4 linked regions of the Lepisosteus oculatus genome follow. The protein of the gene in region 1 purifies or fractionates together with the protein of each later gene. This does not show direct contact. Links are inferred from orthologs where the notes say so. Each region holds a gene or a part of one and is shown in the gene's direction. Other genes may lie near its edges.

Region 1 (8,284 bases):
CCACGTACAGTACGGTAGCTAGACACAAGTGACACTAAAATATGTCCGACTAGAAACATGACGTAAGTTGTAATATACATATAGGGATATTTATTGTTCCTTGACATAATAAACCCTTTTAGCTCCGTCGGAAAAAATACTTCCATACATTTGTCTCCTTTTCTTTGTAATATAAAGTCTTTAACTTTATAAGGTGTTGCTGAGGAACTGACTATTGTTGTACAAAGGTGCTAGCCGAGATTGAAACGGTGAGACACGGGAAGAAGAAGAACAAAAACTATACCAGCGCTTGTTTTGCAATAATTAGGAGAGGCGTTATTGTTGTGAAGTGTCTTTAGTGAGATGGCAGGCAATGAAGATGATTATATGTCGGATTCATTCCTTAATCAGATGTAAGATTTTATGTACTGTTATAATTGCATAGAAATAACCCAATTTTGATTAGACGGTGCAGGATACAATATTCTGTTCTGACTAGCAGGTACTAAAATCTAGGAAACTGCAGAAATTAAAATGATTCAGTCACCACCATTGTTAAAAATTGCAGGTGGTTAAAATAACTTGTATGGAAAATCGGAGAAAGGTTTAAATAAGTTAAACGAAAATAAGAAAATTTACAGAATGTCGTATTCAGAACTTTAAATCTTTCATAGACGGGGACTACAGATAGCATTTTTACAACCGTATACTATAATCACTAACCCTGGAAAACCCGGACACCTCTCTTGTTCACTCACTCCTGTCTGTCTGGTGTGTTTAAAAACTCTGTCCTACGTTTGGTTGTTGTGTCTCCACCCGAAGCAAGGACGTGAGGCCCGGCGTGCCTTTGCCGAGGAGGGTGAAGGAAGCGCAGAGGAAGGAGAAGCTGCACATGGAGAAGAACCTCCAGAGCCGGCAGAAGAGTTTGAAGGAGCAGGAGCAGGAGAGGAGGGAGGCGGTGCTGCAGAGCTCCATCGGGAATGAAAACAAGGGCTTTGCGCTCCTGCAGAAAATGGGCTACAAAGCAGGTCAAGGTCTCGGCAAAGAAGGTCGGTGTCTCTTTCTGCATTTAGACTAGAAAGCCCTGACCGTTTAATTGGAGATGAAGCTTGCTTTCAGCATAAGGGTAGCTTGTTTTATTTATTCCTGTCAAATTTCTCCTCATGGTCCACAAAACAATGATGTTGTTTTTGATTCTTCTCGTCTGTACATTCACGCTGTGAATATATGTGGTATATATATATATGTGGTGATAGACATCTGGTTAATGTATTGTTTGTGTTTTTAAAGGGGCTGGCAGAGTTGAACCTATCCCATTGAATATCAAAACAGGTAATAATAATACTTTGTGTTTTGTGATGTGAAAACTTTCAACTTTATTTGTGGTCATTCTTGTATGTCAGAAAAAATAAAAATTAAATAGAAGTTAAAAACAGGTATGGCTGACCATTTACAAATGTAATGGTTAATATATAATATTGGTGCTGTTTATGGTGTGAATTAAGATGAAAAAATATGGTGAAAATGAGAGAGTTTGTTTTTTAAAAAAAAGTCTCAAGCTATGTTTTGAACAGGGCATGTTAAAATCATCAAGTCATCTTCCAGTTATTCGTGGGTATTCAGTAAATGTCTGGACACATTCTGTATAATCTGTATGATTTGACCAGCTGAGGTGACCTTATTTGTCCTTATTCAAATCCTACATATTTCACTCTCGGAAGCTGCAAAGCTTTCAGGACAGCCCTGTGCTTGTTATTGATTAGATCGAGGAGGAATTGGGATGGAGGAAGTGAAAAAACGAAAAGCTGAGGAGAAGCTGGAGCACTACCGGCGAAAAGCAAACTTTAAGCAGCAAGTCGAGAAGAGAACATTGGATGACTTCAGGTAATAGAACAAAGAACAACACATATTCTGATAGTTTGTATTGCAGATTGTAATCCCTATTTGCTTTCTTGTATCTTTATCAGTTATTTTATTGTGGGTAAACTATTTATTATTTGAAGAACCATGTTGCAATCAGGCCTGATTCACCAAATGAAATAGGTTTTTAGTGCCCAGTGGTCAGTGATCTGAGGTACACAATCTGCCCCTAGTTTAGTACAGTGTAATTGGATGTTTTTAAATCCTGAGGCTTCCTCACTGCTCCGGGTCCTTTCAGAGTCAGACTGAGAACGGAAAGGGAGGAACGACAAACTGATGCAGATCTCAGGAAAAGCCAGCGTGCCTGTGAACAGCTGGACAGCCAGAAGGTTAGTGACAAAACAGTATCTCCCATCGGCTGGTTTACCATGGCTGGGCTTACAGTCTCATTACACATTTCAACTTTTTTATTTTACATAAACACTTTACATGTCTAGGGATTTAACCAGGGCATAAAGCCTAGCATTAATTCTCTTTTGGGTGGCTGTTGGTGTTGGATCAAGGCCTGGCTCAGGAGCAGTTATGTTTTCTAGTTGTTTTTCTGAGGAAACGTCACATGGATCGATGTGCTCTTTCTCCCATGTCCTCAGGGGATCCATGCCCCCAGGGAGGACTGGTACTGGCCAGTGTCGGGGACTGAGGAGCCGGGGGAGGAGGAAGAAACTGAGCAGGAAGAAGATGAGGGAGAGGAATTAACAGTCAGTAATACCCTTTCACTTTCAACCTTGCTGCATAGGCCTTAAAATTTGTCAAGAAAACCAAGGGAAACAAAATACTGTTTTCTCTCTGCCTGTGCGTGTAGATAACCATTTGATTTGCCACGAAGCATTTCATCTCCTTACTTGAATATCAAACCTTTTAAGATTGTTGCCAGCTGCAATTAGACAGCTATAAGATCTGCAGAGTCTCATGAAATCAGACAGAAATCTCAGTTGTTTGTACCAAAGGGATGTTTACCCTGGGGATCCCCATTACCTGTAAAGTGCTTTTAGTGGAGTGTCCAGAAAAGTGCTATGTAAGTGTAAGGATTATTATTATTCTTTGCTTTCAACTATTTGATTAAGAAAGAGTATTACTTTTTCTTTTTCTCAGCCTTTGGAAAAATTACAGATTCTGACATCATATCTGAGGGGAGTGCACTTTTACTGCATATGGTGTGGGACATCGTACGATGGTAAGACTAAGAAATGCATTGATTACTGCAGGATGTACTACAATAAAGTTCTAAGGCCTATCTTAAATATTTAGCTGATTGTACCTGTGCTTCAGTACTGTACTGCTATAGCTATACATCTCTGCTATAATCCATGGCCTCGGAACAATTATTTTTTTTAAATAACTGTTACTTAGATGAGTATTTTTTCTAACTTCATAGGCTACAAACTACGAAACATTGTAATATTCCTTTCTCCTTTAGTAGGTTATAGACTGAACATACCTGAATTCTCTAGGTCAGTGTTTCCCAAGTGGCATACCATTAGGAAAACTTTGCATTATTCAGGGCTTTGACTGTCACTATGACTCATATTCATGTTTGTCTAAGCTGCTCTGTAAAAAAAAGTAAAGAACTAGGCTGCAGTAATGATTGTTGTAACTAAATATGATCATTTAATTTACACCTACTAATCTACACCTCAGCAATAGTATATTTTATTTTTACTCTCTAAAAACTATGCAGACCTTTTGAGGCTCTGAAGAGATCTTAAAAACTGCTTTGTGGTGGACTTCTCTATTTTGTCCCATTTTAAAAAATTCTGCTGGAACTATTATTTCGCAGATATTAAGTTTCCAAGGTAACGACTGTTCCAGTGACGGTAATGAATGCCCCCGTCACTCCTTGAACACGGAAGAAACGTCAATGTTGTTTTTGGAAAAAAATGTTTCAAAAGTAAAATTTTATATATAGTATGTTCATTTGAGAATGTTTGCTTTGACATGCAAGCAAAATTGTTCAAACTTTTCATGGTAGGAGGTGGATAGGTTTTTGCCCAACATTTTTGTTGACGCAAGTATGCATGCTGTAGGCTGGGAATTGACTCAAGTTATGTTGCCCTGCAGATGAAGAAGACTTGACAGCAAACTGCCCTGGGGACTCGTCTGCAGCCCATGACTGATCAGGCCAGAAGAGGGGCTGAACAGGAAACTGAAACTTTTCAGATGATGCCCTTCTTTCACAAGAAGAAGGAGGAGGAGGCCCTTCTGGGAACAATAATATAGACGGAACAGGCCTAGATGTGGGATAAAGCTGATCCTACGTACACCTTGGATGTGTGATTAAGTAGACGTGATCTGATGTCCACAATCACAAAACAGCAGACAAAAGTTTAAGGTTTACATATAAAGGAGATAAAGGTTTACAATTCACCGTGATAGATCCAATTAGAGCTGAAATACTAACAGATATGTTGACATTGTAAAATATGCATTAGTTGTGTTGTTGTGGTCATGAAATGGAATACGAATAATAACATGCAATTTTATTTACAATTTTTTGCAAATTGTGCAATTCTATGTATAAACATCATAAACATTTATGATTTAAACATATAAACAAATAGAACATCATTGCTTGCATCTAAAATATGAACTATTAATAATGTGTTTAAAATGCAATGGTGTATTTGTTTTTAAGTGTATTCATAAAAGTGGTTAGTACACATTGCATCTGTGTTGTTTAGTTGTATATTTTATGTACTGTCCTTTTTGTAAAATGAAAATAAAATATTTTCATGTGTTGCAGTAGCTTACCTTCAATAAAGCATTTGGTCGAGTCTTGCAATAGGATGTAATACAGTCACATTTGCACTACTTAAAGTTGAAACATTGTTGGTAATGCTTTGGTCATTTGTATCACATCCATGAAGTTCAATGCAATGTCCAATGTTAAGGTAATTCATTGTTTAATCAATAGTATATTCCTTTTTTTGTGTTTTAGGTGTTAAAATATATGGGTAACCTAAACTAAGAGTGACAGTAGTTATAAAGAAAAGACCAGAAATCTAAAAAAGCATATCTGAATATAAAAAATCTTTTTATGTTGTTTTGCAGTGTGCTGGGATAGAAACATTTTCAAAGGTTAAAAGACACGTTCTTGTTTGCAATTTGAACGACATACTTGTTCAGTTACCCGGAATGTAATGCATTTCCTAAAATGTTAAATTACAAAGAACACGTATTGGTAACTGAAGTTAGCACGCACAAATCATTCGATTTTTTCCATCCTCATAAATTGAAACCACGTAATATCATCATTTTAGAAAGAAAAATCCTTCTTAAAATGTAACTTAACCCCAGGCCAGCTCCCGTCCTGCAGTGTAGTATCATATTTTAGCAGGCTGGCGGAGCTGATTGGCTGCGCAGTACCGGTAGTTGTTCTAGCTGTGACGTTTGGAGTGGGAAATGAAACTAAACTTTGCTGCTGAGCTGCAAGGGGAGAGAGGGTGAAGTGAAATTTAAAGTCAGTCGTGCACTAACCTGCAGGTACGGCAAGCACAACATAGGTTTATGATCTGTAAGTATACTGATATTTATTTGCGAGATTAGAGTCAACGTCGGGTTTTAATCTTCAGCTTCGTTTTGTTAGGAGTTGGTTCAAGAACGGGGGATTGCAGCAGCGTACACGAACGTTATTTTTATCGGCAACTGTAGTACTGATACTGGTTTGATTTAACACTTAGTGCGCGTTCTCCAGCTATGTTCCTGCAATCACATTGTAACAATCAGAATTATTTCTTAATTATTTGTATGTTTTTTTCTTTTCCATAAACAATTGCTACGGGCACACTGTTAATTGCTTTGTGTTCTTCATTTTTATTATAGTCAAGACTCTTCTATGACATAGGCAGCATTGTTTACAAGTAGGACTTCTCGTGTGAAGGAATCTCGTTTTATGTATTTTTTGTATAAATGAGTTATCTGTATCGGTTAATGTTATTGATGTTAATGATGGTGAAGGTGACTAAACGTCATTTGTTCTGTTTGCAGTGAATCAAGCTTAATATGGCTTTCAAGTTACTGTTATGATATTGGAGTAAGAGGTCTGCATTAAACGTCCAAATAGTCGTCTGTTTTCCAAAGCAAGAGAACAGTATCATAAGAGAATATTTATATGACCACTCGAATTATGCTACTTTTTGTGAGGAAAGAAAAGATATGTGTTTAGCATATGCTACATTTTGGCATCAGTGTTTTGTTGTTATGATGTTGCATTATTAAGAAACTTTAATTATAAGATGATACAGTTTTTTTAAAAACATGTTTCTCTCAAAACCAAGATGAGCTGTCATTAATAAAAACAGTCAAGAGTACAGAATTACAGTAGGACATTAGGTAAAGTATTTAATTGTCTTTCAGGTATTTTTTACAATGTCTCAAATGAATTATGTGGGAAGACTGAATGAATATCGACAAAAACATAATTTATCCCTGCAATATGTGGAGGTTTCCGCAGAAGGGCCAGACCATGTTAGACAGTAAGTTTTATCCTAAAGTTTGATCAAGTCTTATACTGTAGGTTCAAGATTTTAAGCAGCTAGACAATTTAGAGTGGATTGTGCTTATTTCACTGAAAAGCTGAAAGGGGCAAAATGACAACACCTCCTAACTCATTCATTCCACGTTCAAAATCATCATGTAGCACTTTATGGATCTGAAAATGTATATTGAGTAACAGTACAGTGATAAATGTTATACTGCAATCACAATAGCATTGTACAAAGTTATATTTATCATAAATTGAATTCCATTTTTTTCATTTCTAAGTATTCCTTTAAAATCCAAATTTGACAATGATATTCTGCAAGACAGTGTTTTGGAACTATAGTTTAGAACCTTAATGGAATTATATTCTGGAACTATATAGATGCTTCAGAAGATTTCCTGTTTCCATGGGGAATTAAAGGAGGTAACACATTTAGTAGGAACATACAACATGGTTAAGACTACTTGTAAAGTGGCCACTCTTGCAGGAAGACGATGTAAGCACACTACAGGAGGCATCTTGTGAATGTAATTCCTGCCACCTGGAGGATTTACAATATGTTACACTCTGTCACCTTAGATAGGGGCACCTGCTAAGCTCACAACAGCAATGTGTTGCATTCAAGTCAACCATGACTGGCCGGCCTTCACCAGCTGTCTGCAGCTGCACAGGAAGAGTGGTGGACAGTCCCACAGGACTCTGTCCAAAGGCCAATCAGACCTATGCATCAGTTGTGCTGGGATTGTGTTCATTTTTCAGAGGAGGCTGAGTTACTAGAGTAACTTTATTTTGTAACATTCTCACTTTGAATTTCAGAAAATGTTTTGGATTTCTGTTCTGTGATTCTGCCTGACAGTTATATTCCATACTTAAAATATTTGATTAAAACCCGTTAAGAGTTATTTTTTTGCACTCAGTACGTTTGCATTATTGTGTTATACAGATTCACAATGAAAGTGGTGCTGGACAGTCAGGCTTATCCTGATGGCGTTGGAATGTCTAAGAGGGAGGCGAAGCAAAATGCCGCAAAAAATGCTTTGGAAAAGCTATGGGTCGAAGTTTCTCAGCAGAATGACCCTGTGAGTATCAGCGTGGGCGGTTTTCTCTTACTCTGTGCTTTCCTTGACCATGCTTACAGTATGTATACTCAAATAAAATATACCATCTGTCCATTTTAAATAATAGCTTAGACCAATTCAAGGTTGTGGTGATCCACTGCCTAATCTGGCAGACAATAGACACAAGGCAGCATGCACTTTGAATGGTACACCCGTTCATTGTAGAGTGTACATACAGTTTAGAGATGGCAATTAACCTAGATATCCACCTAGTAACAGAGCAGGTCTTTGGATTTTGGGAGCAAATTGGAGCACCCACATGGTCTTGGAGAGATCATGTGAACTACACCTGGGAGGCACCCCCAGCAGGACCCAAGAACTGTGAGGAAGTAACATTAAACTGCAAGACCCCCTTAAGTAAGACCAAACAATACGTAAACTTTGTCTGAATAGAGGTAGTATGTTCTCCCTGTGTTTATGTGGGTTTCCTCCAGGTGTTCCAGTTTCCTTCCACAGTCCAAAAACAAACTGGTGGCTTTATTGACTTCTGAGAAAATTGGCCCTGATGTGAGTATGTGTGTCTGTCTGTCCTGCGATGGACTGATGTCCTGTCCAAGGTTGTCTGTCACCTTGTGCCTGTTGCTTGCCAGGAATAGTATCCAGCTCCCCCACCACTCTGAACTGGAAGTAGCAGTTAGAAAATGGATGGATGGATAATTGATTCCCAAGAGATGCGGAAAACGTTTACTGAGAACCAGCATTAGGGTCTGAATTTAATTAGGAAAAAAAACCTATTGTGAAATTTTAGAACCTGTGAATGAATATAAAATCTGCTTCAATGCCATTT
Region 2 (7,480 bases), on another chromosome or scaffold:
CCTACTTGAGAAGCCGGATTTCAGTTCTGCCAGGACACACCGCGTTGTCAGATTGCGCACAGAAAAAAACAGTTTTCCCTTCCATCTCCTTTGAATTACTGTACCTCATTGCGTACGACGTCTTGACAACTTGAGGGAAGCCACAAAGAGAAATCTTCGGCCGCCGACCTGTCCGCTGGCGTTGCTTCACTACCCAGGGAAACAGCGTCTCCGAACGAGATCGACAACCCAGGGAACCAATCACAGGCGCCAAACGCTTTTCAACAGCAAGAGGCGATTGGTGAGGTGGGGTAGGGGGCGGGGCTCGCAGGCAAACATCCCACATGATTGGTTCTCGTCTAATAGTCTCTGATGCACTTTCGAATGATGACCACTAGAGCGCAGCACTGCAGAACACACTCGGACAATAACAAAGCGAGTGACTTTTCACCAGTGCAAGCGTCTAGCAGAGTGGCGCAGCGGAAGCGTGCTGGGCCCATAACCCAGAGGTCGATGGATCGAAACCATCCTCTGCTAACCATTTTCATTTTTCAGATGAGCCACGTATTAATCTCATTTTACAGCATAGAAACAACACGTAATATAAAAAGCAGTCATGCACACACCTGAAATACTTTTCACACAGGTAAAAGTGTTCCTCTGTATGTTAATGTTGTGTGAAACCTGTCGTAGAAACATCTGGATTAGGCTGAGGTACATCCCTGGTCAAATTTCCCATTGGCCCTTACCAATCATGGCCTCCTAATAATCCCCCTCTCTGAACTGGCTCCATCGCTCTGCTCTCCTCCCCACTGAGAGCTGCTGTGTGGGGAGTGTTCTGGCGCGCTATGGCTGCCATCGCATCATCCAGGTGGGGCTGCACATTGGTGGTGTTGGAGGGGATCCCCATTACCTGTAAAGCGCTTTGAGTGGAGTGTCCAGAAAAGCGCTATATAAGTGTAAGCAATTATTATTATTATTATTATTATTATTATTATTATTATTATTATTATTATTATTATTATTATTATTATTATCCCGGTGGGGCTACTAACTGGTGCTGGTGGAGGGGAGTCCCCATGACCTGTGAAGCACTTTGAGCGGACTGAGAAAGGCGCCATATACGTGTAAGGATTTATTATTATTGTTGTTGTTGTCGTGTGGAAGTTCAAGTAGGGAGCTGTGTCATCAATCGTAGGCTTCTAAGGAACCAGCAAAGGTTTATTCCATGCTGAAAAGAGAAGAAAAGGAAACGTTTCGGCTGTGGAGCCTTATTATCTTCTTCTTAACATTATAATTATGTGGTATTATACGGTACGGCACCAGAGGAATCACGATGGCGAGACTCGGTAAATAAGTGCAATAAAGGAATGCAAATAATAACAATAATAATAATAATAATAATTGCTTACACTTATATAGCGCTTTTCTGGACACCTACCTCTCTTTTATTTTTCTTTGTTATTTTTCCTTGTGATTTTACTGCTGTTCTGAACGTCTTATCAGCGCTCTTGTTCCCCTCGTTGATGTAATTTTAATGAACAATCACGATTAGAATTAATGGTTAGCTACAAAACGCGCTTCACGGCGAATAGAGACATTCGCCCTGCTGGCCACACGGGGGCGCTGTGGGGGAGCCCTTCCGGGTCACTCGCTCAGACTCTCGGCGAGGGAGGCGTTTGTGTTTTTATTATTTTTAGTTGTGGAAGATTTTAAACGACTTTATTTTAGTTTTTTTTTTTCCTCCGGGGAGCAGTCTCGTTTCCCGCTCGCTGTAGAGGGGGAAATGAGCGAGTCCAGTCTGCGCTGGGACACGGGGTGGGTGAAGACTGGCTGTTTCAGGACTGATCTCTTCCCACCTGCTTGTCTTTCTCCTGCTGTGATCCTCACTATAGCAGCATCCTTCTCTGTGTCTCTGTCGGTCCACTCCTGTCTCTCTCCCTGTGTCTCTGTCAGTCCACTCCTCTCTCTCTTTCTCCCTGTGTCTCTGTCTGTCCACTCCTCTCTCTCTCTCCCTGTGTCTCTGTCCACTCCTCTCTCTCCCTGTGTCTCTGTCGATCCACTCCTGTCTCCATGTGTCTCTGTCTGTCCACTCCTCTTTCTCTCTCTCTCTCCCCCCCTGTGTCTCTGTTGGTCCACTCCTCTTTCTCTCTCTCCCCCCCCCCGTGTCTCTGTTGGTCCACTCCTCTCTCCCCCCCCCCCGTGTCTCTGTCTGTCCACTCCTCTCTCTCTCCCTCCCTGTGTCTCTGTCTGTCCACTCCTCTCTCTCTCTGTCTCTGTCTGGTTCTTGACAGCTCTTGCTCTGCGCAGGTGCTGTGACTCTGGGTGACGGTTCTGTGGGGGTCTTCTCCAGAGCCCCGCCCTGGAGAGGGATGTCTGCGTCCGAGGGGGACGTCGGGGGCCGCGTGTGTGCGTTCCTGCGGACAGGGGCGCAGGGAGGCGAGAGGGGCCACGCGGCTGGGGAGATCGCGGCGGCCCTCGGGGGCCCCCCGGTCGGGGATGTCAACCGAGCGCTGTACGAGCTGGAGAGGGGCGGCGCGGTCCGCCGGACCAGGACAGAGCCGCCGCTGTGGAGCCTGGCGGGCTCGGAACCGGAGCCACGCGCGACCACCGGGGCGTCCCCTGAACCCGGGCCCCCGGACCCTCAGAGCGTCCTGAAGGTCCTCCTGTCGGCGGGCCCCGGCGGGGGGCTGCCCGCGCACCGGATCGCCCGCGAGCTCGGCGTCTCGCGGAAGTCGGCAAACCAGCAGCTGTACTCGCTGCTGCGCGGGGGCCAGGTGGACAAGACGGAGGGGCCCCCCGTGCTGTGGAGGCTGCCCAGCCAGACACAGGGCGAGGGGGCAGAGGGGCCGCGCACCGCCGCCCCCTGCAGGCCGGGCGTGCACACTGCGGCCACGAACGGGAGGGACAGGTATGTAGACGGGGGCAGCCGGCATGAGGCCCTGAGCGCTGACTGGCTGAACTAGCGGAGAGACTGGGGGCAGACTGCTGCCATGGTTACGTGGGCGTGAGCCGTCGCTGCCGAGGCGATGGGCGGGGCTGTGGGTGTGCCAGGCAGAGAGAGGGAGAGCGGTCCTGTGTCTCTGCTCAGCACTCTCGTCTTCCTCCTCTCTCTCCTCACTCCTCCCCCCTGCCTCTCCCTCTCCTCACCCCTCCTCCCTCCCTCTCTCTCCTCACCCCTCCTCCCTCCCTCTATCCTCTCTCACTTTCCCCCTCCCTCCTCCTCACTGCCTCTCTCTCCTCACCCCTCCTCCCTCCGTCTCTCCCTCTCTCCCCCCACCCCTCCTCCCTCTCTCTCCCCACCCCTCCTCTCCTCCTCCCTCCCTCTCTCCCCCCACCCCTCCTCTCTCCCTCTCTCTCCTCACCCCTCCTCCCTCCCTCCCTCTCTCTCCCTCCCCCTCCCTCCTCCTCCTCACTGCCTCTCCCTCCTCTCTCTCCTCACCCCTCCTCCCTCCCTCTCTCTCCCTCCCCCTCCCTCCTCCTCCTCACTGCCTCTCCCTCCTCTCTCTCCTCACCCCTCCTCCCTCCCTCTCTCCCTCTCTCTCCTCCTCCCTCCCTCTCCTCCTCCCTCTCTCTCCCTCCCCACCCCTCCTCCCCCTCTCTCCCTGTCTGCCTCTTTCCCAGTGGCCCTGTGCCCCGGCCTCAGCCAGCTGGCCCGGGGGAGGCCCACGCTCTGGCAGCCAGCTTCCAGCACCTGGCCCTGGGGGAGGGGACCCGCCGCGAGCCCCAGGACGTGCTGGGGGTGCTGGAGGGCCTTCCGTCGGGGACCACTGCCCCGGCTGCGCTCATCGCCCGGAAACTGGGGGTCCCCAAAAAAACAGCCAATCAGCACCTGTACAGACTGCTGCGAGAGGGCCGTGTCCGAATGGAGCAAGGGACACCCCCAAAATGGGGTGTTCCATGAGGGGCACCTAGCTGTTGTGCTTCAAAGGGAAGAGGAATAGAAGATGAATATAAAGATCGTTGCGTTGATGTACAGAACAGGTAGAAGGCCGAGTGGTCAGTTATCATGTCATTTTCTGTTTCTGGAATTAAAACCATTCAGCTTTTTGTTTCATTTTTGACCTGTAGTGGAGAACATGGTGCCTGTGCACTGAACTGACTGCAGGCAATAAACTTCTCCAAACAGAACTGGGCTGGAAATTGTGACTGTACTGCCTGACACTCACACTGTCACACTGACACACACACTGACACACTGACACACTCACACTGTCACAATGACACACACACTGACACACTGACGCACACACACTGACACACTCACACTGCCTGACGCACTGACACGCTGACACACTCACTGCCGAGCACTCACACTCACACACACTGGCCCTGCACATCGAGGCTGCCCCCAGATGTCTGAGCCTACACCCCCCTTCACAGGCTTCTACCCCTCCTCTCCCCTCAACCAATCCGTCGCCTGTTTTCGACGTCATCGCGCCGCTCTTCCTGTTTTCCGACGGCGAGGCGGTGGAGCCCACAACACTCTGCGGAGCCTGAGCTGCACTGCCAAACCCCTTAATCCATCTGCAGGTAGGGAGCGCCTTTCTCGTTCGCCCCGGGTGGGTGTTCGCGGAGACACGCGTGGCTGGTGTCGGGGAGTCGGGCCGGGGACGGCGGCGAGCCCAGTTGGTCTGCGCCGGGAGATGTGGCCCCCAGCCGCTCACGACCCGCCTGTGGTATCGCGACATGACGTTCGGGGTGCGTGGAGTGAAGGCTGGCGAGAGTGGGCTGGAGGCGGAAGAGGCAGGGGTCCCGGGTCGCGCTGAGGGGGGGGGTCGGTCGGAGCCGATACTGGCTGTGCATCTGTGCGTGTGAGAATTAGAGGCATCGGGGGGCGTGTGATCGCGAGTCGGAGCTCTGCAGGCGCTAGGGCCGGTCCTGCCGGTGTCGCTGGATGTCGGGACATCAGTGGTTCAGCATGCACAGTAGTTTCAGCGCGCTGCTGGCGCTGCACAGGGTGGTATCGTTGCGGGGTGGTCTGGCACGGCTTGGCCCAGGACGGTATTGTACCGGCTCGGGCTGTGCAGAGCGGGCTGCAGGCGAGCACACTTCTCCTGTCCCGCAGAGCTGTCTCTGGGGACCGCAGGAGAAGGACGCCGGTGCGTCTCCCGGACGTGTTCGTCCTTGTCCGCCCCGCACACGAGTCAGGCTGTCAGCCTCTCTTAATGACAACAACAACACCAGGAATAGTAATAACATGTTGTTTATCAAGTCCCTTTCCAAGCCCACTGACGCCGTGCATAGCGATGAAGAGAGACAGAAAAACACGGTAAAAGGTCAGAGGAAAAATTAAGCCAAAACATCCAGGAGTCGAAGCAGGAGGGTCAGTCTGCAGCAGTGGGGACAGTGAGCGCAGCACAGAGCCGTTCAGGGCTGCCGAGGGACCAGATTATTCTGAGGCTGGAAGCCAGTTAGGAGACAGGCAGTGCTGCAGAGATGACCGCAGAGGCGGGCAGTGCGAGGTTTCAGTGTGTCACCTCTTGTTCTTCTGGCCATCGAACTGGACAGATCCGCCCAGACGGCCTTCCGCCACGCTCCGGACACGCCGCACAGCACTCTGGGTACCCCGCAGGGCCACCGCCACAGTCGTGCCTCCTTGATTCGGGTCATGTCCGGTCCGGAGCAGACGGGCTGTGGGGTATGGTCCTGTACACTGGGAGCTCCCTGGACCCGTCCTGCTGCCCTGCTGGTTCTCTTGGACACGCAGGACGTGTGACCCCAGATAGCAGGGTGCGGGTGTGCGGCGGGCAGGGTCGGGCCAGTCTGGGTCTCGCTGGTCAGTGTCCGGGCCTCACGCAGCTGGGCCTCCGTGGGCAGTACCAGACACCCCTGGCTCTTTCACCCACCGATTCCTCCTGCCTGATCGGACCACAAGCCAGGGGAGACAGGCAGGAACTACGGGGAAGAGCATTTAAAGCCAAGGACAGGAGGCACTGCTTTACACAAAGGGTGGTGGGGGCGTGGAACAGGCTGCTCAGCTGTGTGCTTGAAGCTGGTACCCTGGATTCTTTCCAGAAACAGCTGGTTGAGATCCTCCAATCAGGGCAGGAGGCACTACTTTACACGGAGGGTGGTGGGAGCATGGAACAGATCCTGAGATCAATTGACTACTAACGACCCAACGGGCTGGACAGGCCGAGTGGCCCCTTTGCTTTATAACCAGTCCAGTCCAGTTTAATTGTCGTGTGCACCACTGTTCTCAGTGCCTGTCCTGGTTTCCCTGTGTCCCAGTTTGTTCTGGGGGTAAAGCTGTCTGTATCTCTTAGGATCTCACCTCCCTGCAAGTCCTCCTCTCACCCTCTCGTGTTCTGACTGGAGAGGCCCGGTTCCTCTCTGAGACCCACAGTCTCTCTGCAGTGTGCTGTTCTGACTGGAGCGGCCCGGTTCCTCTCTGGGACCCACAGTCTCTCTACAGTGTGCTGTTCTGACTGGAGCGGCCCGGTTCCTCTCTGAGACCCACAGTCTCTCTGCAGTGTGCTGTTCTGACTGGAGAGGCCCGGTTCCTCTCTGAGACCCACAGTCTCTCTGCAGTGTGCTGTTCTGACTGGAGAGGCCCGGTTCCTCTCTGAGACCCACAGTCTCTCTGCAGTGTGCTGTTCTGACTGGAGAGGTCCGGTTCCTCTCTGAGACCCACAGTCTCTCTGCAGTGTGCTGTTCTGACTGGAGAGGCCCGGTTCCTCTCTGAGACCCACAGTCTCTCTGCAGTGTGCTGTTCTGACTGGAGAGGTCTGGTTCCTCTCTGAGACCCACAGTCTCTCTGCAGTGTGCTGTTCTGACTGGAGAGGCCCGGTTCCTCTCTGAGACCCACAGTCTCTCTGCAGTGTGCTGTTCTGACTGGAGAGGCCCAGTTCCTCTCTGAGACCCACAGTCTCTCTGCAGTGTGCTGTTCTGACTGGAGAGGTCTGGTTCCTCTCTGAGACCCACAGTCTCTCTGCAGTGTGCTGTTCTGACTGGAGAGGTCTGGTTCCTCTCTGAGACCCACAGTCTCTCTGCAGTGTGCTGTTCTGACTGGAGAGGCCCAGTTCCTCTCTGAGACCCACAGTCTCTCTGCAGTGTGCTGTTCTGACTGGAGCGGCCCGGTTCCTCTGTGGGTTCAGAGCCACAGCTCGGTAGCCCTGCTGCTCTCGGACCCTGACAGGGAGTCAGTGGCTTGAGTTCCTACACGTTGCCAGCTCGGCTCCGACCCGGCGTGTCAGAACAACAACAAGAAGACGGACACGTCCGGACCAGCCGGTGTCGACGCGCTGTCGGGGGGGGGTCGGTTTATTCGGTTTGTGTGGCGCGGGGCGGGCGCGCGTGTGGGGGTCGGGGTCCCCCTGGCGGCGCCGCGCGGGCACAGCGCCGGCTTCATGGAATCGGAGCGCTCGTGCGGAGAAAGGAAACCGAAACCGGAGCGAGGACAGGCGCCGAGATTGCAGCGAGAGGCTCGCGCTCCTTCCCCCTCCGCGCCAGACACGCGCGATCGCGGCTGGGCTCCGGGTGCAGCAGAGACCCGGGC
Region 3 (7,159 bases), on another chromosome or scaffold:
TAACTACAAGAGTAGGGAGCTGGTTTCAGATTCCCAGAGTCATCTGTAAAAAGCCATGTTTTCCTGTTTTCTGTCTTGAATACTCTAGTTGCATCCCCGAACGCTTGCGTTACTGCAGATCTTGTAGAGGTCCCCTGACTTAACCTGCTCAGTGCTTCTCATGATGTTGAATCAAGTCTCCACATGACTAAAAGATGCAGTTTCCCTAAGCCAGTCACATGTAATATGACATTTCCTTCAAGCCAGAAATTATTCTGTTTTCCTGGGTTCTTTTTTGCCCTGTGTGTGCGGTGATATCTTGGAATCCAATGTCCAAAACCTTTTTTTTATATACTAAGCTTTTTTAAAATATTTTTAAAAAAACATCTAGTGAACTTAAAGCAAGAACAATAATGTACATCAGGTGGAGAAGGCCAGGTTCAAGATCTTCCAAAAGGAAAATAGTTCTATCCTGTCCATGCACCTGGCATGCCCTGAAGTAATCTGTTATATATATATAGCCAGCAGCCATATCACCCTGCAACTCACAACTGGCACCCCACTGGAGCTCAGCAGGTGTGAGCCTTGTCAGTACCTGGATGGGAGACCTCCTGGGAAAAACTAAGGCTGCTGCTGGAAGAGGTGTTAGTGGAGCCAGTAGGGGGCGCTCACCCTGCGGTCCATGTGGATCCTAATTCCCCAGTATGATGGGGACACTATACTGTAAACAGGCGCCGTCCTTTGGATGAGACGTAAAACCGAGGTCCTGACTCTCTGTAGTCATTAAAAATCCCAGTGCATTTCTCGAAAAGAGTAGGGGTGTAACCCTGGTGTCCCACAATCTTGACCAATCTTGAATCAAAATCTAATGTGCAGAAGATTTTATAGCTATTCCTTTTGCAGCTTTTATTAAATACTTATTCTTGCCCTTGTTTTATTCCTAGTAAAATCCCTTGATTCCCCTCTCAAGTGGCAATCATTCATTCCAATACTATTGAAGGAATAGAATATTATGAATAAAATACAAGAGCTGCATGTGGCAGTGATTGTAATCAAATGAATAGTGCATTAGCCTGGGTTGGAACGGTGAACTTTTCTTTAGTGTTAACCCCTGGCCTCTGGTGGAGGCCTGCAGTGGTCATTGATTTGATAATTGGCTTATTACACTTACTGAGAGGTATTCATCCTAATTATAGAGAGCTCAGAAAAATGTTTTTTAAATCTTTTCGCATCTACCAGTAGATTCCAGGCTTTCAACTGGGAATTCTGTATAATGTATTGCTAAAGAGCTTATCCTTCAATGTTAATGTAATTATTAAATTCAAATTATCTTCAAATATAAGGGGATATAACACATTTTACTGACTGCCAGTAGTTAAAAGCATTCTGAGCCACACTTCACCCTGTGCTAAGGAAGGAATCTTCAGTGCATATTGTGCAGCTGCTTTCATGAAATCATTTCACATGGCTACATTTTTAAGGGTCCCGTTTCCCCTGGATAGCAATTCATTAAATCTAAAAATTACTTAATAGGCCACCTGTAGACACTTTATTTCCTACTCAGCTTAATGCTGGCTAGTCTTAGGGAGATGGGTCTCGTTTAAGATGCCTGTCTCTTGCTACTTCTTGATCACCTAGTTAGATCAGCCTCTAGCCCTGCTAAAATATGACACAACCCCTCCCAATTCACCCACTCCACTTATCCCAAAGATATTTCCACATTCACTGCTGGTACTTGAATCCCTTGTGGTTTTCTTATTGATTCCTTGTTGGATCCCCTAAAGACTTCAGTCGTTGACTTGATTTGTTATAGATAACCACTATTCCAAGTATTCAATTCCCGACAAGTCCTGTTAGGCCATCCCTGATAAATATTGAGAATCACTATCCTAAAGTAACAACTTCCGTAACCATTACAATCCCAGACGTTTCAGGATTTTGTTACAGAGTCCTGCAGAAATGGCTTTAAAACTGATAATATATTATTTGCAGCTTGAGCTCTATGTATAAACAATAGTTTGTGTACGGTTCAGAATCCACTTAAGTTCCATGTGTTTTCCATTGTGTCGGTTTTCCCAGTGTCACTTGAATGACGCAGGTTGTGTTTCGGTTTGTTTCAAAATATCAAACATCTTGTCATACTAGGTTTACAGCCATACAGCTGACTTTTGTCATGGTAAAGCGAATGTATCGTGTTGAATGCTTATGAGCATTAAAATTGAAGATGAACAAGGGAAATAGCAGAGGTTAATTTCAGGCTGAGTAGTAGCATGAAAATGTTTTGGCTGTTGAACTTTCATTTGACCCAATCTATTTGGTTTTTAGAAGTGAACTTGAGAATTCATCCATCTCGTTCTTGAAAGAAGCCAGGGTATTGGTTTGAGCAACATGATTCTGTAGCTTATTCCAGGACTCCCACAACTCTTTCTTCAAAGAATTGCCTCATATTCCCCATTTTAAATACATAATTTACGCTCGTGTCCTCTGGCTTGTGTTTCACAGCTCATTCTGCTGAAGTCCTTTGCGTTTAATTTGTCGATTTGTCGTTTAATTTGAGGATTCTGAATACTTGAACAGCGAATATGACAAAGGAACCTGGTACAAGACTAAAGAGATTCAGCTCCTTTAGTCTTCGTGTAGGACATTGCTTTGCACCTAGAGTAGCAATGGTCTGTGTCTTATAGTCCACAGAATTAAACACAATATTCTAAATTACTTATTTGCTATCTATGACCACTGAGGCAGACATTAACATAGATTAACAAATTTAAATTCTATGCTTCTGACTTGTGTATATCCTAAAATTTTAGATTTTTTTTACTTGCCCACATTTTTGCAGATGTAAGTCATGCATTTTTCATAAACATTTTCAAGATCAGTATTTCCTATTTTATAAATATATATTTACGTCTGTATGTAATTCTCTGCAGTTGTCTACATGAAGAATCTGGCAGGTGTTTTCCCAAACTTGAATTCTATTATTATTTTGTAGTTTGTGCAGGGTTTGCAAATCCACTTGCTTTATTTGTGTAATCTATTAAACTGATTAGTTTACTACCTTTATCTGAATCTAGATCATGGATATAAATGAGGAAGAGTATTCACCCAAATTCTGTACCCTCATTTTCCTTTGCATTAAGCAAATCTTAATCCAGGTATATGCACGTCTATTCTGTGCACTTTAGAGAAATCGTTCATGAGAAAGTTTATGAAAGGCCTTCTGGTAACTTCCAATTGAATTCCCGTTCAATTCATAATTTTTACCCACTTTTCAGTTCATTATTGTGCACAGCTAGGATAAGTGTGTACCCCATTTTTAAATATCCGCAGAGTAATGTGAATGAAATCCGATGGCCTCTTATACACGCAGAGTTACGACAGACTGGTATTTACAGCATGTTGACAGAGTTTGTAGAGCTCCCCCACCAGGCTGTACAGCAGGTGTAGTTTAAAACAGTTGCCCCTGTGAGCGAGAATGCGAGTCCAGGATCAACCTCTTTTTGTTTTACTTCATGAGGCTGTGTAACACTACAGACTCTGCGTGGCCGGCGGTGGGAGATGTAAACCCACAAGAAATCAGGACAGGGCCCTCAGTAGTCTGCCCCCTTCCTAAATTTGGAAGTGTCTAACATTCATACTGGATGGAAACAGACCTCGGATCATTTGACGTGGCGGGATGTATTGTTCTGGGATGCACCCAGTCGGTCCTGCACGAACAGATTCCGCTTGACAATGTCGAGGTCCCACGGCTTGATCTTTTCACGGGTCCGTGCAGACCACTCAACACGTGTCAGCCCAGCCGGCGAGGTCCCGAAAAGCTTATAAGCCATTTTGTTCCTTTCTTCTTTTTTTTTTTGTTGTTGTCGTTGGTGCCGGCGGATCTTAACCCTGGCCCGTGTTTTCATGCACGACAGTAGTTCTGGCAACGGCTCTGCCCCCTGCTAATCACTGCCACCGGCGATGCCGCTCCGTGCGCAGGAAGACCCGAACTGCACCGCCGTCCAATTTCGCTCAGGAAACCAGACTCTACCACTCCAAGTGCTCAGGGGGGGGGGGGGGTGTGAGTTGGTCTACTTTCTGGCCTGGCGTTACTTATTGCACGTTAAAGGCGGAATCCTCTAACTTTTTTTGAAATCGAAACAAAATCCGGACGGTTCGGAATCGCCCGCACCTGAGCCGTTCAGCCCCCCTCCCCACCCCCTACGCCGGTATCGCTGACGGATAAAAGTGGTTCGCCCGGTGACCGTCAGTTCTTCTCTTTAGTGTTTGCCAATGTTGGAGGTGTAACTGGGCTCTGTCCCTGGGAAAAAGGTAAAATAACGCACGTTAAATGTGACTTCACGCCTCGCTGAAACGCCTCGGGGGGCTTGTAAGCGTGTAAGCGTTATGCCAGTGATGTTGCGGCGATCCGCCCGGGTCCCAGCTCCTTCCGCGGCGATGACGAAGCCGACGGTGTCGGATGCGGGGCTCGGGGGTGCTCGCCTGTTTTTCAGCCATGATGCCTGCTGCCGTGCTCCCAGTGCTGCGTTGAATCGCGCAGCAGCAGCAGCAGCGAGGCGATATGGGCTCGCCAACAGCTGGCAGCACCGCGGGCAGCGCCGGGCGGGTCGGTGGCGATGCAGCCCGGGGGCCGTGGCGCCCCGGTGGCGGGAGGGCGGCGCTGTCAGTCGGGCTGGACGGGGTCGGGCCGGGTCGAGCCGAGCCGGTACGTGCAGACCGAGGCGTGATGCTCGGCACCGGGCGGCTGGAAGCGGATTTTAATAGCGACGGCCGGGCGCTCAGCCTGTTCGTGCATTTAATGTCATGTCGTTCCTAACAAGCTCGTGTGTGTTTTGTGTGTGTGTGTGTTGCACTGTGTTAGCCAAGGTTGCAGGGGTGTGTATGAGGAGGGGAGGGACAGTTCGTACCTGGTTGTCGGAAATAATTGTGAGCGGTATGCATGGTTGGATTGCAGGTCTTTTCTGTAACGTTGGTCAAATAAAGGAAAAAAAAACGTTTCTTTGGGTTTTGGTTGGAAGCGGGGCAATTAGAAAAACAAACTTTTCTGTGGCGTTTTCTGTTTATTATCGATCAAATAGGTTAAAGCTTTCAACTGTGAATACCGTTAAAATATTATACAGTATTCAGCTGTGACTACGATTCTTGCAACTAAAACTTTAATCATCTGGCGGTACGAAGGGGAAAAAAAAGAATAAAAGCAAGTTAGTTCCAACTTTTTGAGGGCCGGAAATGTTTTCGGTGCGGACGTGATATAATTAGGAAATTAACTGCACAGAAGGATTCATGCACTGCAGTATGTGGCGAAAGGTGACGTACGGTTTCAGACAGGTCCAGATGTGCTGTCACTGGTGCTCGGGAAGTGCACGTTGTAGCTGTTGTCCAGAGTCCCGAAGGGTGAGCTGAACTGCGAGGGGGAGCATTTCAGAAGAACGAATCGGCGATTTGTGTAACTGCTGCATTACCGTGCAACTTTAAATAATAAATAATTGCATTTTTTTATTTTGTTCTTTTAATTCTGCACACTGTTGTAGTCCAGTCCCGTGTCCTGGCTTTGCGGGTTGAGTGTATTCCCGGTTTAAAATATCCACAGAGAGTGGTGTGAATGAAATCCGATGATACCTTCTGCACGCAGAGTTACGGTAAACGGGGGTCACAGTACTCTGACAGAGCCCTTTCCCGGGTGTAGAGCTCCCCCTCCTGGCGCTACAGCAGGTGTAACTTCAATCAGTCGCCCCTGTGAGAGAATGAGGGTCCGGGATTTACTCCATCTCCGACAGCAATGTGGTTGATTTGCTTGTTCCACACTCCCACAACTCTTTGTGTAAGGAAGTGACTCCTGTCCTCAGTGGAAGATCTCTTTCAGCTGTTTCTAGGAAGAAGCCAGGGTGTCAGCCTGAGCATATTCCCCTGACTTCACTGGATAAACAGGACATTTACAGGATAGATAGGAGAGGACATAAATCTGTGTAGCTGCTGCATGGGTCCTGTGTTGTGACCCATACAGCAGGAACAGGCAAAATGGCAGCACAGAGCTCTTTATTAGTTATAAGCTCTTGTCTATCCTCATTAGGAGAACTTACACCGTACAAGCATATTATTCACACTGGAAAATGGAGCAGGTGTTAAAACTGCTATTTGTTTTCGCCATAGCATGGAGAAATGTAAGTTCCGTACCTTGAATTTAAGTGGCTGTGTCTTTCAAGGCTGTTTAAAGCAACAGCAGAGTTGAGACCCCTTCAGCTCGAGAGATGTTTGAGAGACCTGTTGAATATTTAGGATTGGGGGGAGATACTGAACCGATTTCCATGTATTTGGTTACTAAGAAAGAGACCTTGAATTTATATGGCGAGGAGTGAATCAATGCTCTGGAGTGAAGGAATGACATTTAGACTGCAGGCTTGACCCTGCTTCTTTCAGACGCTGTGAAAGGGCCTGTATCACATGACGCTCCTCGATAGCCTTGTCGCCTCGGTTTTGACCAGGAGTGCAGACAGCTCAGGGCTCCTCCGTCGGCCAGCGTGGATAGGTTTCCCTAGTGAGTGTGCAGAGAGCTGCTGGGAGCTGTGTGGGCGTGCCAGGGCTCTGTGCCTGTCAACCGCTTGTGAACAGCTCTAAAAAGCTGTTGTTTTCCTCCTGGCCTCAGATTCTTAAGCAGGTCTGCTGATTTCAGACCCTGCTTCTCCACGTATTGCGAATCCCGTGAGCGGGGAGCGTCGTCGCGGGCGAGAGTCCGGCCGCGTGTCTCTGGAGGGCAGACGGACAGCTCGCACTGCAGGGGGCCGTGATGTGAGCTGAGGAGGACCCCCTAAACAGTGCGAGCTGTCCGTCTGCCTTTGTCTTCCGCTTACAGGTACAGAGGATGGCACAAGTGAAGGTGCAGACGGCGGCCGGCCTGCCCGGGCCTGGCATGTCCCCCATCGTGCCACCTGCCGCGGTGCCCAGCCCAGGCCCTGTCAGTCTGCAGCCCTCTGTCAACGGAGCAGTTCCAGCCCCTGTGCCCAGCTGCCCCAGTCCCGCCACCGGCCTGCTGGATTCTGCTGCCCCTGCGAGCCCACCAGGTAGGGAGGAAGATCCTCGGTTTGAAAACCAGACCGGCTAGTGTTGGCATCGGCCCAGGGGTAGAGCCAGGCACGGTTCTCCCTAGAGAGAGCACCGAACAGGTGTCCCGAGCGTAGCTGCG
Region 4 (7,928 bases), on another chromosome or scaffold:
AAAATATAGCAATATAGCAATACAATACAATACAATAGCAATACAAGGCACAGCCTTAAAATAAGATGTAGAGTATGTACAGACCTAGAGTAACTTGTAGCAGTCTTCTGTTTAAAGGTGATTTGGGCTGTTCAGTTTTCCATTCCTTAGATTAGACTCATTCACTATGACAGACTTGCTCACAGTCACTAATGTCTGGGCTAGTCTTGTGAGAATTCACTCATCAGTCACAATCTGAAGTAAAATTATACAGTGAGACCTAATAGACACTTCCTCATGAGTTGAAAACTGGCAATTCCTATCTGCACAGTAACTAATCTAGCCCTGAAACTGAACTTCAGATAGCATGAGATGAATCTGAATTTTCACAGGAATTGCATTAAACATATTTAAAGAACACACATGGTGCTAACATCTAGTTTGCAAACATGTGATGTCACATATTTGATGTACCTTACCAGAATGACTGGACTCTGCTTTTAAATATTGTTAGAATTATTTTCCGTTTTGGGATCTTTTTCTGCTACCCCAGTTGATAAACACGTTAAATTCAGAAACAATCATATCGCAAAGTTAAAGAAAGCTGATAGAACAGATAAGTTCTGTATATAGTTAACCAATAGCTGTAAATTCAGCAAGGCACAGGTTAACTCTAATTAATCTAAAAGCTCCAGATCCTTAAGGCAAAGGGGTCCCAGTTGTGAACACCATAGGCTCTCTTGCTAATTACAAAGACTCGGTGATCTTCGAGTCAGCAAATAAAGACACTCGCTGCGAAAGCAGCTTCGTTTGATCAAGGAAAGACGGTAGCTTGCTCACATACATACGACTCGGTCAGCAGCTATTATTGTCCGCAAGCACAGAAATAAGACTCGAAATAAAAAAAACAACCGCTTGAACTAGCGACTGACACAAAACAACAACACAAGCTACACTCAAAGAGCATACGGTAGGATCAGGCGTGTCAGCTTGCAGACACCGATAATTACGCTGCAGATTTGTTTTTTCTTGTAATCTGTTAAAACACGTGAACCTCATCAAGAAGACACATTAATAAAATAAAGTACAAAGTCCCAAGTAATTGCAAACTGTTAATCACACGACCACATTAGACTCCGTATGAGCATCTCCAGCCCTGTGAGCATGATGGGGTAAACAGGTTTAGCTGAGTCAACACAGATGGAACAGATCAGTAGCTCCGTAAATACCTGCAATCCCTATCTGTAGATAAAAAACAATAATCCTGAACACGTGTGAGATTTTATTCAACCTGCAACCTCTATATGCAACGCCTTAATTATAATATTCGTATAAGCAAATATCCTGAATTCGCATCCTACAAACACATTGTTTATTATTACGGCTACCATGCGATAACTTTAAACACAGCTTTCGTAATTCAGTGCGCTGCTATTTTCTGCTCTCTGGGGGATCCGGTGTGACAGTGCAGGTGAAGTCGACCCTCCCTCACTTCCTGAGCCCGAATTATAAACAGGATCACATGCTCTGCGATTCCAGCCACAAAACAGCGAAGGCGGTGAAATTATAAAAGAACGCATCACAAGCACCTTTTATAACGCACGATAAATTGATATCTTACCTCAGTTTTCGTGATTCAGCACCAAGAAGCGGCCTTACATATGGAATGAAACTTCTTTTTCACATGTTAACACATCCCGCAGAGCCCTCTGCCATCTCGCCGCATACAGACCTTCATTTTCCAGGAACAGGACGTCACGCGTTGACTACCCGTCCCACGCCGCAGGAAGGAGCACGAGCCAATGGTGAATGAGCTGCCGGCACAGAAACTTTACCGGCTCCCAGTACAGCAGCGTACTGTAGTTTTATCCAGACTGTAGTGGGTACAGTTCTTAACACGGTATATAATTCTCAATGCAGTTTTTTTCATTGTAGCGTGCTCAAAGTAACGAACAAAATACATTGTATTTATATTACAAATATTTTTTTTGTTTTTCTCAAAGTCTCTACAGTGTCACAAAGCTCAACAGAGATCACAATTTGCAGTGTCTTGATGGGTCTTGGACGTTAGATAGGGGGTTAATGTGCTGTTTGTACCACCAGGACTTGAGCCACAGTAACAACCTTGCAGGAGCCCCAGCTGGGTTTAGGGCAGTGTCTTCCAGACTAGGGAGACTTTGAGCCTTGGTACTCTCTCCCTGAGGTATTGTTCAATCAATCAATCATGGTTTATTTATTAATGCACAACAATACAGCATACAGCGGTGGTTGTCGGCAGTGAAATGCATTTTCCGCGAGCTCGCCAAGGAGAGATGGGGCAGAATTTGATAGAAGGTTACAAGAAGAATACAATAAATTATTGGAACAATTTACAAGATTACGCAAAATCTTGTAATTCTTGCAGGCATAAAAAAAATTGAGGGCGAGGAAAAAACACGGGAAAAGGCTGTTTTTAAATCTGCCGGTCTTTGCAGGTTTCAGTATCGTTTCCAGAAAGACAAAACAAATTGTGGCTTGGGCAACTGGGGTCCTTGATTATAGACCTGGCTTTCCTGAGGCATCTACAGTAACTGAGTAGATATCCTCAATGTCTGGTAGTATGCAGCCGGTGATGAACTGTGCTGATTTCACCACCCTCAGCAGTACTTTGCGATCCCAGGCAGAGCATCTCTCATACCAGGCAGTGATGCAACCAGTCAGGATACTCTCAACAGTGCATCTGTAGACGTTGGCTGGAATATGTAATGGCATGCCAAACTTCTTTAGCCTGTGGAGAAAGAATAGGCACTGCTGTGCTGTTTTGACCACAATGTTGGTGTGGTGAGACCAGGTTAAGTCCTCTGTGATGTTAACACCTGGGAACTTAAAACTGCTGACCCTCTCCACTACAGACCCGATGATGTAAATGGAGCTTGGAGCTTGGTGATAAGCCTTGACGGTACAATGGTGTTGAATGCTGTGCCGAAATCAACAAACAGCATTCTCACATACGTTCCTTTCTTGTCTAGGTGTGAGAGGGTAGTGTGTAGAGCAGTGGCGATGGCGTACTCAGTTGATCTGTTCTGTCGGTATGATAATTGCAGTAAGTCCAAGGTGTCAGGCAGTGAAGAGGTGATGTGTGCTCTGATCAGCTGCTCATTCCTCTGGCCTTCAGTCACCTTCGTAATCCAAGACTCCAGTTTCCAACATGAGAAGAAAAACCTCCTGCTCTGGGTTTTAAATGTACTCCCTCATAGTGTCCACTTGTGTCCTCTGGTTCGTGTTTCACCTATGGTTCAGATGATATCTGCTGGGTTCACTTTGTCAATGACTTTTTGGATTTGGGAATCAGGTCCCCTCATTATCTTTTCTGTTCAAGACTAAATACATCATGTTTTTTTCACCTGTCAGGGTAGGGATGCAAGAAGTTACAGTTCATTTTGACGTAGATTTAAAATAACTTTATTATAAAGGGATTCTGGAGAGTAAAGTAAATAGGAAGTCATTTAATCAAAACCTTAACTCTGAAACTCACAGCGATGACTTTCATTTTATAACATCCTGCAAACAGTGAATAATCTCCTGTGATCCTATAAATGCCATGTTAGAAAAGCACGAACTCAGAATGGATGTAAACACTGACACAGAGTACAGATTGTCCAATCAGTCGAGCTGCCCACCTTGTCAGCTAAATAAAAATATTTCAGAGCCACAAAGTAACAATGGGTGTCCTACCACCATGAAGGAAAGAAAAGTGTAACTACAGGTAAATGAGAACATGAGAGGCTTTAAAAATGTGAGGCCACTTGGCCCATCTAACTCATTTGGTAGTTAATTGGTCTGGGGATCTCATCCAGTCATTTCTTAAAGGAAGACAGGATGTCCAATTCAAAAACATGACTAGGTAGTATGTTCCCTACTCCCACAGAACTATGGGTAAAGAAGTGCATCCTGTTCTCATTTTTCTATAGGAGTTTCCCCTTGTGTCCTGTGCTTCACATTTCACGGTTCATTCTGAAGAAGTCAGCTGGGCTGAATTCTATACATTATAGCCCAGGAATGTGTCCGGTCACTCTTTTCTGGTTTGTGCTGAGTCTTCCTGGTCATCGGGAAGAAGATGCAGGAAATAAAGAGAATACATAGAATGATTTAATATGACCGTATTTAGAATACTACATCCAGGTTTAGTAATCTCTACAAAAATGAGCTTTTCCTGCATCAAAGCGTGGGGCCCTTGCAATTAACACTGCTGCCTCACATCTCTCTTTCCTGATTTTGATTCTGGGTGCCTTCTGTATGGAGTCTGCATGGTTTACCTGTGTTCACTTGGGCTTACAGTTTGTTCCCACCACCCAGACACATGCAGGCAAGGTTCTCATAGTCTCTGTCTGCTTGTGTGTCTGAGTGCCCTGTGATGGACTGCTGTCCCATTCAAGGTGTCTGTGCCCTGTGCTTCTGGGGTAGGCTCCAGGACACCATAATCCCAGGGGATAAGCAGCTTCTAATAAAGGGAGGATGGAAAGAAAGAGTTAAAAAAGAGCATCATAAACAATTCCTGCTCTAAAAGGAATACCAACCAAAGAATGATAAAAACCAAACTGAATGTCCTTTACCATTCAAGTAAAATAGAGCAGTGGAATCAGCGTGTGTGACATCCGCCGGGCTTGCAGGCGGCGCTGTTGGGGCGGTCTTGAGCGGTGCTGCACCGCTACACGCTGTTTCCAAGGCTAGTAACCAACTTTAAAGATGGCGGCGCCCGGCGTGTTCCCCGTGGGGGTGCGAGTTTATCGGATTATTAAAGGGATTTCGTGCGTGATTAGGAACCCTTGTAAACACAGCTGGTTTGGGGTCTGTCGGTACCGGACTACCGGGTCCAGACAGTTCGTAATAGAGGCAGGGAAGGAGCAGGAAGAAGAGAACCGAGTGGCGGAGATGAGACGAGGTAAGATGACAGCCGGGAAGCTTATGCAGTAGCTTTGGAGCATAATCTAACAGATTTCTCTGTTTTCTGAAATGTGTTCATTAAATAGATAGTCTGACATCGTGATATCACGATATAAAGTTACGGTGTCTCCAAACTAGGTCTGTTGTGCAGAGGGGTCATTTCAGTCTGTACAGTACCTTACCGTGACGTAACGGTGTTGCTAGGGGTCATACAGGTGTAGAAAGGTTACAGCAACATCTCTACGTTTAGAGCAGACGCTCTATTAGAAATAAAACTTTGATATAGCTCTACAAAAAGATAATTCCACATTAAATTAAATTAAAAAAATTAAATTTGTTTCTTTACTTTTATTTTGTAATTGCCAATAAGTACAAGGTAAATGTGGACATTTCAGACCGTCCACAGGACTGGGATTCACGTTTCGTACAATTCATTCGTAAATGCCCTGTGTCCGTTGTGATATTGTGGCTCGTACCACTTACCGTTGCTGTACGGTTTTCCGTGAAATTGGAGCTTGATGTTCAAAGGACAGCGTTGCTTCAGTTACTTCTTTGCCGAGTTATTCAATTTTAGCCGGAGAATAAATAGAAACATAACTTTGTGAATTTGTTGCAGTTATAACAAATCACGAAAAAGGCAGCTTTTGTACCAGGTTTTAACTTTTTAAATTTAGCAATTAATGGTGTTGTGGTGATTAATTTCTTTTGATGCCCAGTATATTGTATTAAAAACAATAACAGGATTCCAATTATACAGAAATACCTTAATATGTAATATTGTATTGTATCATATTTAATATAATATGTATGTATTCATTATATATAAATATACACTTTATCCTACAATTAGCTTTAAATGTGCTAGCACATTTAAAGCTCTTCCTTTTTTAGTGACAAAGCTTAGTTTTCTGTTCTCTTTACTGTTTTTTATAATAGTGTATAATGTATAATGTATAATATAATGTTTCTTTATTAGCCCCATACAATTTCTTGCATTAGGAATTCGCCTTTTCGCATACCCCAGGTTTTCTCCATGGAGACACAGACACACAGACAGGGAGAAGCTTATGGTCAGAGCGCAGGGTCTGCCATTGTACGGCGCCCCTAGAGCAGTTAGGGTTAAGGGCCTTGCTCAGGGGCCCAACGGAGTAGGATTCCTCTGCCGGCCGCGGGATTTGAACCGGCAACCTTCCAGTCACAGGCGCATATCCTTAGCCACAGAGCCACCGCTCCGCAAAGTGCGGAGTACAGTTTACCAAAACTGTAAAGTTTTGGTAAAATTCATATAGCTTGTCTTATACGTACTTTGCTTATCTTTAAGTCATGTTTCATCTTATAGATAGATTTCTATCTTATTTTACATCACGGAGTTGTAAAATGCTCCAGTGCTAACCTGTTTGTCTGAAAATACTGTACTTAAATCCTACGGTTCATCTACACACAGTTATAATTTGATCACAAAGCTTTTTAGAGTCATCTCTCTGTACCTCTCTCTGTGGCTCTGTGTTTCTTTTTAAGTGTATCTTACTGTGTGTGCTCCCTTGAGAGTACATTGTCTTTGAGTGTCCCTCATTCTCTGTGTGTCTCTCTGTCCAGGCCGTAAGGAACTTCTGAAGGAGTTTCCTCATCCCAAGAGTCTGCTGCACAATTTGCTGTCCCGGGCTCTGGGAATATCAGACCTCTCACAGCACATCCTGTACAGCTGCACTGAGGGACATGTCAAGGTGGGCTTTCGCTGACAGTATACACCTGTACACAAAACCACATTAATGCCTGTACAGAGTCAAATTAATTCATGTGTACAATTTACCTACAAAACAACTGAGCTCAGAATGTCTTACAGAGGGATGTGGTGACAGGGCCTGTGCCTTGTGTGTCTTACAGAGGGACGTGGTGACAGTGTGTGGATGTGTGTGTGTGTCTCTCTCTGTCTGTCTTACAGAGGGATGTGGCGACAGGGCCTGTGTGTGTATATTACAGAGGGACGTAGTGACAGGGTCTGTGTGTGTGTTTTACAGAGAGCCACGGTGACGGTGCTGTGGCCGCGCAGGGTGGAGGCAGAGGGATTTGGCTCCCGGAAGATTGACGCTGAGCGGCGAGCTGCTGCAGCTGCCTGCATGATCCTGAAGGTGAGAGACCCTGATCCCTACAATACACTCAGAGGGCTGAGTTACATGGGAGGTGGTGCTGCCCTTTTCAGTAGCTGAGGCCTATCTGAGACTGTCTGGTTACTGAGGACTGGTGACTGTCCAATATCTGCATTAGGTATAGATGGCTTCCCTATCTGCACAGTTTACTGAAATCGTTTGGGCATATTTATTAGTATGCAGTACTTTTTCAAGTAGCAAGAGCAACTCTGAAAATTAGGCCTTACTCTTAATTCAGATTTCTACTGAGATTTTACTCTGTGGCTTTGGAATGCTATATTGCAAGTGACATGAAACCAAAATGGTAAATGGAAGTGTGTTGTATGTTAAATATTTCCTGCTATTTTCTCTCAAAAACAATTCCCTCTCTCTCATTCTTTCTCCTTCCCTCCTCATTTCTCTCCCCTGCCCCTGCATTTCCTCCTCTTTTCTCTAATTCTACTCTTTTGGTCTCTGCATTTTCAGAACATGGGGGTTTTGGGCCCAGGTAACGAACTGCCACGAAGACGAGCACTGCGTATGGTGAACCCCAGACCCCCTTCTCTGTCCACCGATGAGGAGGATGGGGAAGGGGAGGAGGCAGCGCTGGATGTCACTGACTTCATGGTTGACTCCAGCCAAGAGGTGCCAAGCCCTCCAGCACCTCCCAGGTACACCCTGCCCCCTACAGGCTCCCATATTTTACTGTGTACAGCCTAGTGTCTCCCCAGCATTTGTGTGCCTTCTCTGTCTCTCACTGACTCTTTTCCACTCCTTTTCTCCATCATTCCCTGTCCAGGTTGGCCCAGGAGGACCCAGGGGTGGTGCGAGCTCTCTCCCTGTTCCCAAAACCCAAGGCCCTGCTGGCCAAGGTCATCCAGGTTGCCACCTCCTCCTCTA

The links.
Region 2: the proteins of eif2ak2 (region 1) and adar purify together in Homo sapiens (affinity purification with mass spectrometry; 3 studies listed by BioGRID and IntAct, with this or other methods). This does not show direct contact. The link is inferred for Lepisosteus oculatus from reciprocal best matches to the Homo sapiens genes EIF2AK2 and ADAR.
Region 3: the proteins of eif2ak2 (region 1) and stau2 purify together in Homo sapiens (affinity purification with mass spectrometry; 3 studies listed by BioGRID and IntAct, with this or other methods). This does not show direct contact. The link is inferred for Lepisosteus oculatus from reciprocal best matches to the Homo sapiens genes EIF2AK2 and STAU2.
Region 4: the proteins of eif2ak2 (region 1) and dhx30 purify together in Homo sapiens (affinity purification with mass spectrometry; 3 studies listed by BioGRID and IntAct, with this or other methods). This does not show direct contact. The link is inferred for Lepisosteus oculatus from reciprocal best matches to the Homo sapiens genes EIF2AK2 and DHX30.

What each region holds. Positions count from the first base shown.
Region 1 is NC_090712.1:6,726,839-6,735,122, reverse strand, and holds the start of eif2ak2 (interferon-induced, double-stranded RNA-activated protein kinase), read left to right. Parts: upstream 1-5,266; 5' UTR 5,267-5,410; intron 5,411-6,252; 5' UTR 6,253-6,264; coding exon 6,265-6,371; intron 6,372-7,322; coding exon 7,323-7,458; intron 7,459-8,284. Other genes in the region: gpatch11 (G patch domain-containing protein 11), read left to right, coding at 343-392, 802-1,028, 1,270-1,311, 1,743-1,863, 2,138-2,228, 2,490-2,597, 2,992-3,073, 3,958-4,013.
Region 2 is NC_090722.1:6,554,579-6,562,058, forward strand, and holds the start of adar (double-stranded RNA-specific adenosine deaminase), read left to right. Parts: upstream 1-4,274; 5' UTR 4,275-4,334; coding exon 4,335-4,512; intron 4,513-7,296; exon of another isoform or gene 7,297-7,480. Other genes in the region: ilf2 (interleukin enhancer-binding factor 2 homolog), read right to left, coding at 105-109; uncharacterized protein, read left to right, coding at 2,352-2,890, 3,604-3,883. UniProt on the Homo sapiens protein: Catalyzes the hydrolytic deamination of adenosine to inosine in double-stranded RNA (dsRNA) referred to as A-to-I RNA editing.
Region 3 is NC_090701.1:53,322,890-53,330,048, reverse strand, and holds the start of stau2 (double-stranded RNA-binding protein Staufen homolog 2), read left to right. Parts: upstream 1-4,104; 5' UTR 4,105-4,290; intron 4,291-6,829; 5' UTR 6,830-6,838; coding exon 6,839-7,037; intron 7,038-7,159. UniProt on the Homo sapiens protein: RNA-binding protein required for the microtubule-dependent transport of neuronal RNA from the cell body to the dendrite.
Region 4 is NC_090701.1:26,019,269-26,027,196, forward strand, and holds the start of dhx30 (ATP-dependent RNA helicase DHX30), read left to right. Parts: upstream 1-4,698; 5' UTR 4,699-4,704; coding exon 4,705-4,900; intron 4,901-6,498; coding exon 6,499-6,626; intron 6,627-6,920; coding exon 6,921-7,031; intron 7,032-7,514; coding exon 7,515-7,699; intron 7,700-7,827; coding exon 7,828-7,928.